Drosophila melanogaster: one gene and its partner. The protein of the gene in region 2 interacts with the protein of the main gene of each other region in a pairwise test. Each region holds a gene or a part of one and is shown on either strand. Other genes may lie near its edges.

Region 1 (6,633 bases), on a different chromosome or scaffold from region 2:
CCACAAAGCTCAGACCGCGTTCCGAGTCGACTGGAAAGTCGGCGGTGAAGACAATATATCCTCTATATTCCAAAGAGCTCTTTAGGTTCTGCAATGGATTGATTGATTAGATAAAAGAAGAGCGACATAAACAAGAAATAGTAACCGCTCTATCCACAAAGTCCTCAAAGCCACTTAGGTCGTAGTAGAGCTTCAGAGGTGGCGAACGTCCAACTCCCGTCTTCTGCTTGAACGGCTCCCGCCGCTTAAGAATACTCAAGGCCCGTGGCAAAAATGTTGGCGTCAGATTTCGGCAGTAGGACACGTCGAGGTGTTCCAATCGTGGACAGAGTTCCACGAATTCTAAGAGGATTTCGTCGCTTAGGTCATTCCAGTTGCGCACGCAGAGCAGCTGCAGCTCTGTCATACAGGTATAGCGCTTTAGGTAGTCTGCCGAATGAGTCCAGCTGCAAATGGCCAGGCGCTTCAGCCTGCGATGCGTCCAGATGGGCAGCTTCTCATCCCAGCCCGGTTCAAGGGGCATATAGTACCCGTCCACGGCAAAGCCGACGATGTCCTTGGCCTTGAAAGCCATGATCTCGTAGAACTCGCTGACCTCGCGGATCTTGTGGTCATAGCTATCCGGACTGACCAGCGGGGGGATATGCCACTCGTTGTCCAGCAGCACCACCAGTTTCCTGAGGGAGGGCAGCTCCAGAACGGCGGGTAGAATGGGTTTCAAGGTGGCCAGATTGAGCTTAAGATCAGTGAGGTTCTTAAAGCTCTGCAGGCAGTTTCCCAGCTGAAGTTTACTGATCATATCGTACGTCCTAATGTCCAGGACCCGAAGATCGTGCAGCGTGCTGTGGCGCAAACGGAAAATGAGTTGCGAAATATTATGCAGCAGAAGGTTACTACTTACCGGCACACCTCGTCCAGGTACTTCTGCTGCAGCTCAAACGCCTTGTGCTGGTCCTCGTAGAGGTGCAGCTCCTGCAGGTGCTGGAAGTTGGATAGGTACCGCCCGTCGATGGGTGTGGTAAGGCGCAACTTTTTCAAGCCCGGCAGCAGGCGGGCCAGCTTGCGGATGCTTCGGTTCGTGGGATAGCAATCGACGCCGTCTGGGTCGTAGTAGAAGCTGGTCACCATGGGCAGCTCTGCAATGTGCATTTCGTCCAGATCTTTTAGAATGGAGCACAGACAGCTGCTGCCGCCCATTTCTCTGATGTACGGACGCATTTGGGTTAGGAAGTAGACCAGGTCTTCATGATTGGGCAACAGTACCCGCCACTTCTCCAGATCCAGTTGCTCGTAGGCATGGCTGGTGCGCCACTTGCTCAGACATATGTACTGCACTCGCCGGCAAGTCCTCGCGAAGGACACTTCCGACGGCAGGTCCTGCAAGCGATCGAAAATCTCGGCCAGACAGTCGTCGTCCAATTGCAGAATTAGGGATCTCGGCTCGGAAGCCATGGCCCGGGATGCGATCCTCGCGACACAATCTAGGTACAGAGTCTGTTAAAATAGCCGGAGCGAGAGATAGTTTCTGTATTCTGGATCGTTTCAAGCAGGTCAACTCAATTGAATAACAAACAAAAATACATTTTGGTGCTCCCCCAATGTGACCAGTCGTGGATGGTCTGAATACCTCACGCAAAAAACGTAGGTTCCTTACATTATGTTATATATACGCTAATTGTTTGAATACAATTTAATAATACAGTTTAGTAATTTATATATATATACATAGACATATAGACATATATATATATAACAAATTTAACAATACAAATTTATTGTTATATATGTCTATGTATATATATATATATATATATATATATATATATATACAAAACTAAAATTACAAATTTATTGTTATATATGTCTACATATATACATATACATATATATATATACATATATATATATACATAGACATATATAACAATAAATTTGTAATTTTAGTTTTGTCTAACGTAGCCTAGCGTTATTTCTAATTTCAAGATCTTTGTCGGTGTGGCATAAATAAATGATTACAATTGATTGGCATTTTCGAGTTATTCTTGGGAAGAATACCCGCTGCATTGACAGTGTTGAGAAACGGGGTGCAGGGGTGGCCACACCGTTGGCAGCCGCGTAGTGCTGCCATACCACTGATAAGTAGAAAACACGTGTGAGTGCGCATTCTTTTTTGTGGGACAAGCGGCTAGTAATTATTTGCGGACGGAAAATATTGACGAATAGTTGAATTAATCATGACAGACCTGCTAAAGATAGCCGATGCAATCGTCCTGGAGTACTTGCAGTCCAAGGACAAGAACCTAGCCAAGGTTTTCCAGCAGAAGACGAAGGCGGTAAGTTTCAGTGCAGAGCGGCAAGTGCAATATGTGCGGTTTGGATGCACCCGAAACATGTGGTATCTGCGTCCTCCTGATCTAGAATCCGAGGGCCTTGCTGTCCGCCGATGGCTCATCGAGCTGTCCACCTGCCACTTGCTGCAAGTGCCACGTGCTTCGTCCAGATAACCAAGAATTTCTGCCTTTTTCTAACTTGCAGGCCAGTGTCGCCAAAAGCAGCCCAAAGTTGAGTGAAATCCTTCAGTTCTACCAGACCAAAAGCCCCAAAAAGATCCCAGCAATCAAGGCGACAGCCGGAGACTCCAGCGAAGACAGCGACTCAGACTCTGAGTCTGATGCGGCGCCTAAGAAGCCAGCGACAGCTCCTGCACTAACAAACGGCAAGGCTGTCAAAAAGGCAGCTTCTTCAACCAGCGAGGACAGCGATTCAGAGGAGGAGAAGAAGCCAGCAGCAAAGGCCACGCCGGCCAAGGCTGTCGGCAAGAAGGCAAAATCCTCCAGCGAGGACAGTTCCTCGGAGGAAGAAGCACCCAAAAAAGCTGCTCCAGTGAAGGCACCTCCGGCCAAGGCGGCTCCCGCGAAGAAGGTTGAGTCCAGCAGCGAGGATAGCAGTTCCGAGGAAGAACCGGCAAAGCCCGCCGTCAAGGCCACAACGACTAAGGTTGCTCCCGCCAAGAAGGCCGACTCCAGCAGCGAAGAAAGCAGCTCCGATGAGGAGACTAAGCCAGCTGCCAAGCCTGTAGCCAAGGCTGCACCGGCAAAGAAAGCAGCATCCTCCAGCGAGGAAAGCGACTCCGATGACGAGCCAGCCGCCAAGAAGCCTGCCGTCCAGCCTGCCGCAAAGCCAGCTCCTAAGGCAGCCGCTTCTAGTTCCGAAGACAGCAGCTCAGAGGAGGAGGTCAAACCCGCTGCTAAATCTGCTGCCAAGTTGGCTCCTGCTAAGAAGGGGGCTTCCTCTAGTGATGATAGTTCCTCTGAAGACGAGGCACCCAAAAAGGCAGCAACTCTCGCAAAGCCCATTTCTAAGGCTGCTCCCACCAAAAAGGCCGACAGTTCCACTGAGGATAGTTCTTCGGAAGACGATGCTCCTAAGAAGGTAGCTCCAGCAAAGGCTACGCCAGCTAAGGCAATTCCTGCCAAGAAGGCAGCTTCCAGCGATGACAGCTCCTCGGAGGAAGAGGCGCCCAAGAAGGCAGCTCCAGCAAATGCCACGCCAGCTAGGGCACCTCCTGCCAAGAAGGCAGCTTCCAGCGATGACAGCTCCTCGGAAGAAGAGGCGCCCAAGAAGGCAGCTCCAGCAAAGGCCACGCCAGCTAAGGCAACTCCTGCCAAGAAGGCAGCTTCCAGCGATGACAGCTCCTCGGAAGAAGAGGCGCCCAAGAAGGCTGCCGCCCCAGCAAAGGCGACACCGGCCAAAAAGGCCAAGTCTTCAAGCGAAGACAGCGACTCCGATGAGGAGGAAGCTCCCAAGAAACCAGCCGCGAAGGCCGTTGCAAAGGCTGCTTCTTCGGAAGATAGCGATAGCTCAGAAGACGAAAAGCCAGCAAAGGCTGCTCCCAAGGCTCTGGCCAAGTCTGCAAAGGCTGCCTCCTCAGACAGTGACGATTCCAGCGATGAAGAAACGCCGGCAGTGAAGCCAGCTGTCAAGAAGACTGCTGCTCCTGCGAAGAAGGCTGACAGCAGCAGCGACGAGAGTGACTCTGGTGAAGAGTCCGGCGAGGTCAAGCCCAACTCAGCTACCAATGGCAATGAGAAGACCGCTCAGAAGCGCAAGTTTAGTGGTGGCGACCAGGACGAGGCCACTCCCAACAAGAAGTACAACAACTTCGTCAAATCGGGAGAGCAACAGGTAAGGCGGTGTAACTTATCTATGTACATCTAAAATTATCCGCAGTCCGCTTATGCATGTTTTCCTTCAGACATCAATTTTGAATGTCGGATAAAAATAATTCCTGAGTTAAAGGATTCCCTTAAAAGTAGCTTTTTAAAGCCCTATTGAAATTTGAGCCGAACTTTAAACAGCACATAATTTTGGCTCCTTGTCCGATTCCTGTGCAGACAGTTTTACATAACTTCATTGCCATTCGCAGAAGAATGACTTCACCTCCACACCTAACAACACCTTCAGCCGAAACCATAATATGAACAATAGCGGAGGGGGAAGTGGGCGACGGTCGCCCTTCCGAAGGGTACGCACCGAGGACGTGGTGGTGGACTCCCGAGTCCAGGACATGTCCTTCGAGGCGAAGGTAAGTGCCGCAATGGATTTGAGTCGCGTGGGTGTGTGTGTTTGCGACGGCTGTTGAGGATTAGGCGAGGGGGATCTTTCTACGAGGCTGAAAGGGGCAGACACACAAATTAGCAAGTTGCTCCTCGAAGAATCTCAAACCACTTGTGGCACTTTCCCAATACATTTTGAACTTATATATCAAATCAAATCGTTGCTAATTTGTGGTTTGCCCCTTTCGGCGTTTCTACCATTTCAGGAAAACGACTTTAAGAAGCACAACAACGGACGGGGCGGCCGAGGAGGCTCAGGCTTCTCCGGACGACCGGATCGCAGCACTTGGGAGACCAACAAGTTCAACGGCGAGGGCGGCGGTGATGGAGGCGGCTTCAAGAAGATTGGCGATCGCAAGAGCTTTGGAGGCTTTGATAACAACCAGCGCGGAGGACGTGGTGGTGGCGGTCGTGGAGGCGGCGGAGGCTTCGGTGGTCGTGGCGGTGGCGGCCGTGGCGGCGGTGGTGGCTTCGGAGGACGTGGTGGCGGCGGACGCGGAGGCGGCGGCTTTGGAGGACGCGGGGGCCGCGGTGGAGGCGGACGTGGAGGCGGATTCGGCAACAAATCCTTCGACTCGTCGGCGCCAAAGCAAAACAAGAAGATCACCTTCGACAATTAGAAATAGTTAGTTAGCGCCACCCACCCGCAAGCACACACACACACACTAGATGCAGTTATATTATCGGATTAACCCAATTTTATTATTTGCTCACCACGATAGAAAAACGCTGCCGGATCCTGGGGCGAGCGAGCCAACAAAGATCTGAAGCACACGCGCGGCAAGTCCTTCAAACACGAGAAGACCAAGAAGAAGCGCGGCAGCTACCGAGGTGGCCAAATTGACGTAGGAGTCAATTCAATAAAATTTGACTAGATTTATTACACCTATAAAATAATCCTTATTCTAACGGATATAACTAACTAGTTTAAGTAAAATATTTGCCTTACGCAATAGTTCCGCCAACATGTAAATTCTTTCCAAACTCTTGATTGACTTCGGGAAGTCCGTACTTCCGTTTTAATGTGAATTATTCGAATGCAAATTGGCGGTCGACAAACCCGTGACCAAGCAAATGGTTATTATGACTTTAGCGGATTAAACCCTTTTTTTTTCCTGATCGGACGGAATGAAACCCGAATGCGTTTCGTGGATTTTTTATAAGCCTTTAAGAGTTAAACCCCTATACATTTCTATTGTATATTATATATATTTATAAGGTTCATAAAGAGTAAGCCAAGGTATTTTTCAGACGCTTGGGTTAAATGAAGGGTTGAATTTTCCGCTAACTTGTGGTGATAGCCGGTTTATGAATGCTTATGACAACTTCAATATGTAAAAGATTAATTTGTTTTGTCACATTGGACAATGTATTTAATTGAACTAAGAAAACACGGAAAGAAATACATGTATTTTTTAATAACAGAATTGTTTGTAGTTTGATTACAAATTTGAATCAAATGAAACTAAACCTTTGCATGTTCTCTTCAGACCATCAAGTTTTGAAGTTTAAATTCTACGGGTTTCTAATCTCTAAGAACTCATCTTATTTCGGGTAAAGGAACTGCCCCAATCGATGCGGATAGCATTTTGGGTTAAACGAAATGTTGAAAACGGAACCCAAATAATTCTTTTTAATTCTTTGTTATATTTATTAATATGAATTTGATGCTTACGTTACATGTAACTAGGTTTCACTTTATCTCTTCATGATCTTTCACATTTAGTATTCAGAATGTATTGTCGTTTGATTTCACATACATAGGTGTGTACATTAAGTATTTTATAATTGAAAACGGTTCAACCAATTCAAGCAATTTCGATAACGAATAAAACATAAGGCGGGCCATTTAATTATAAATCATATATAATTAAATAATCACATTGCGTTTAAATCGTAAAATAATGATATTACATAGTATTCATTTAAAATATCCATGTCATGGTGTGTTTGTAGTTCGAAGGTATCAGCATATCAATTTACAAACTTTCGAGGCATTCTCATGGGTTGTTTTGAG
Region 2 (3,636 bases):
CTGCCGGAATGGGCCGTTTCCTTGCGGGAAACCCTGCACATCTCCCATGCCCTCATCCCCAATTCGCATGAGTTCGAGTTTGTGGTCACGCTGAGCCACGAGGTGTTGCGCTTTCACGCCGTCTCTTGGTAAAACTAAAAGCTCCCCGCACGCAACGCAATTAAGATTGCACCACTTACAGCTCACTTTCGCTTTTTTATTCGCAGGGAGATTATGCAAGAGTGGGTGGAAACGCTGCGCTCCAAGCTGCGCGAAATGAAGATTCTGTCGCCGCGCGAAAACCTCTACACGAAGCTACCTGAAGTGCGCGCACCGTTGCTGCCCACGCGGGATCCCACATCGCCACTGCCACCACCTCCTCCAGTTCCGGCGGCTCTGGTACCGGGCGTCGAGCGTGTGGTGGCACCCAGCCATCAGGCTCCGCCAGCACCACCTCCTGAGCCACCAACAAGTCCAGTGCCCACCACACCTGCACCTCCTGCCCCTGCTCCCGCTGCCATGTCCAACACTTTAACGCAGCACCTCCTCAACATGCTCTCCGATCCCATAAGCACCTACAGCGAGCAGATCAGTGAGTCGGTAGAGTCAGCCTCTGGTCAGGAAGATGTTGCTGTAGCTGAGGAACCTCCAGCGGAGCAACCGACCACTAGTGATGCCGATTTGAATCTCTCGGATGACGAATACCTGTCGCCCTTGCTGCGCAAGGCATGTATGCTTACCGAGAATGGAGCTCGCGTTGACGTCGTGGTGGTCACTGGACAGCGCGTTTCTGCCGGTATGAATATTTTTTATATAACCTAAATATATTTAATTTTTACTCTAACATTACAAAATATAACCTAAAATTGTAGATCAAGTCCTAAATTTGGAGCACATTCTGCAATGCGAACGACTGATTCCCAGGTGAGTGAATCCATCCTACAACATCTCGTTCATAAGCTCGTAGTTGTGCTGCAGGAACTTGAGTACTGCCTTCTTGGTGCTCGCTTTGCCCTTAAAGGTGGCCTTGAACAATTTTCGCAGGACGGCTAGATATCTCATGGCACTGAGGGTGAGCTCGTGGCTCTCGGCATCCAATTTCATGCCCAACACATTTTTGTATCTCTTGCTCACCTGGGCTTTCAGATTGTCAAAACTTTGGCTTGCCTCCTCCATCAGAGGAGCACGCTGCTGTCGCCGGTAGTGATCCATGTGGGCATGTAGCAAGGTTTTGAAGAGTTCGTTAAAGTGCTGCACCTGCTGGTGGTCTGATACGTCTTCGCAGAAAACACTGAACATGGTGTCAAAAAACATCGCCGGATCCTGTCCATTGCATAGTCTTTTTAGGGCGCTGATTGAGGAGCAGGCGAAATTTCGCTTCAGATATCGGTTCTCCTTGTCCAGCATGTAAATCTGATCATTTATCCTTTTAATGGCATGTTTGTCCGCCGCGCGTTTCACCTGCAACTTATCGATCAGACATTGAAGCTCCATCGACTCCTTGGTTAGTGCAGCGTTTTCTTTGACCAACCTACGATTGGCCTCCACTATATTCTCGCATGAACTAAAAGAAGACTGTTCCTCCTCATTCAAACTTTCATCAAATTTGCAGCATACAACATCTTTGCCGATTGCGGGATTCGGTTTTAGGCTCATTTGGTGAAGAGTGCGCAAATCCAACTGGAAACTGCCCGGCCACGTAAATGGATAACCCAACGATTTGTGATCATTGAGTTGTTTATGAAGGAGCAGTAGCATATAGTTTCTGGAAAAGCGTTCCTTCGGCGTTGACTGCTGGAAGATGTTGAGCCATCGGGTGCATGTGGGCACAATGTTATCTTTATCGGGCAGCATGTCCACCAGTTTCACCACACTGACAACCTCCTGCACAAATAGGTCATCTAGCTTCTCCTCTGTCAAAGAAAACGGTTTGGCCATGTCTCCAAGATTTGTTTATATCAAACTGGCTTGTGATTTAGAAATCAGCCTACTATGACGTCAGCATTCTTTATCAAATATTAAAATGTATTCCTGTTTTCTTTTAGACCGCAAACATCGCGATCCATGTCAGCTGGAGCGGCAGACAAATCAAAGCGACCGCAACGCAAGCCCCTCCAATCCCAATCTTCGAGCGCCGCTCCTACGAACAGTGCGGACTCTCAGGACAACATCACAATTATCCAAGTGTCGAATACCGCCAACAGTGGCCAGGAACATCCACCCGAACTGCCGCCCAAGAACACCACCACCGCTGAGGTGTTTCGATTCCCTGAGGTTAAGAGCAAGCCCCAGACTAATGCCAAGCAGCAGCCAATCCAGACCCATCACGAGTATAAAAGCAACGTACAAATCATTCCGTCCAACGCCAGTAGCAGTACCAGTACCATTCAAGTCCTTGGCAAACAGTCCAGTAGCAGCAATCCGTATACAACGCCCGTTAAGCAAAGCTCGTCCAATGGCTCCAGTTCACAGGTGTCGGGCACCACGAAAGTAAAGGTGTTGGGTGACGGAGACGCAACCACCAAGGTGGCTGTCTACGGCACCTGCTATCCAGCGGCCGGAGGAAGTGCACCCAGTTCTTCCGCAGCCTCTTCCTCTGTTAATCCTGCCAAGCCGCAGACGCCCAGATTAAGTAAAAAGATAATACTCAGTGCCAACACCTCGGGCATTACGAATATTAGCGTGAATACAGAACAGGGCAGTGACTCCATAATCAGTGGTAATATCCACTACGAGAAGGTCTTCCTTTCCTCCAGCATTCCGATCACCAGCAGAAGCAGTCCCACAAGAGTGGCAAACACGAATACCACACAGCCAGTGACTAATGGCAGTCCAGCTTTGCCACGTCGTCGGTTGGCTTCGCCGGCAACGGCGCAACCAGTGACCCCCAATGCAGCCGGCAGGGCGACGCCGCAGTTGACCCGAGGACTAACCGAACTGGTCATTAGTTCGCGGCCAAGTAGAAGGGATTTCCACTACCTAAAGCTGTTGAACACGCCACTGAAAACGAAGACATCGCACAAGTCAACCAGCGCCGCGAATAACAACATTGAACAATCCACGCCTTCCAGCTCCAATAGTACCCAAGTTACGCCAACGCAAAGGAATAACACCTCGATTGTAACCGGTGACAGCCAGGAGCAGCGGCGACGCAGTTCGTCCACATCCGATGCCCAGGCTCCACTTCAGCGGGTCCCTCAGCCCGCAACGCAGCGTAACGCTAACAATAACGAGTTTACGCCATCCCGAAACGGAGCCTTTCGTATGCAGCCACCGCCACAGGGAACACCTCCGTCAAGCACCAATCCCGCCCAGCAGTCGCCCAACAAGCGATTGACTTTGCGGGAGCAGCAAGTGATGCAGCTGCGTCGCGAGATTATGCATCCTGGAGGAGTGCGACTGAATCTAAGGCGCAAGGACTGCGTCGGTTCCATCGCTTGGGTAGAAGCCTTCGGTGGCGTTTGGTAAGTTAGAGAGAACTTCGTATCATCTCCACGGTGATTGTATGTAGACCGAATTATATTTGGAAATTGTATAAGCAATTGGTATGATTCACTAACTAGTTGTGTTTACAGGATTGCAGGCTGGAAGCAGAAGGAACACCCTGTGCTCTACAATGCCCTACACATCGGTGATCAGCTACTGTCCATAGCAGGT

Evidence for each region.
Region 1: the proteins of CG14383 (region 2) and Nopp140 interact in a two-hybrid assay, tested with the Drosophila melanogaster proteins (one large-scale study listed by BioGRID).

Annotation. Positions count from the first base shown.
Region 1 is NT_037436.4:21,830,645-21,837,277, forward strand, and holds Nopp140 (Nopp140), read left to right. Parts: upstream 1-2,129; 5' UTR 2,130-2,234; coding exon 2,235-2,333; intron 2,334-2,535; coding exon 2,536-4,185; intron 4,186-4,426; coding exon 4,427-4,585; intron 4,586-4,822; coding exon 4,823-5,236; 3' UTR 5,237-5,338; coding exon of another isoform or gene 5,339-5,491; 3' UTR 5,492-6,041; downstream 6,042-6,633. Other genes in the region: CG7148 (uncharacterized protein), read right to left, coding at 1-88, 146-842, 902-1,452.
Region 2 is NT_033777.3:12,986,582-12,990,217, forward strand, and holds CG14383 (uncharacterized protein), read right to left. Parts: upstream 1,931-3,636; 5' UTR 1,918-1,930; coding exon 919-1,917; 3' UTR 904-918; coding exon of another isoform or gene 852-903; 3' UTR 795-851; downstream 1-794. Other genes in the region: CG31342 (uncharacterized protein), read left to right, coding at 1-128, 207-775, 852-903, 2,025-3,443, 3,555-3,636.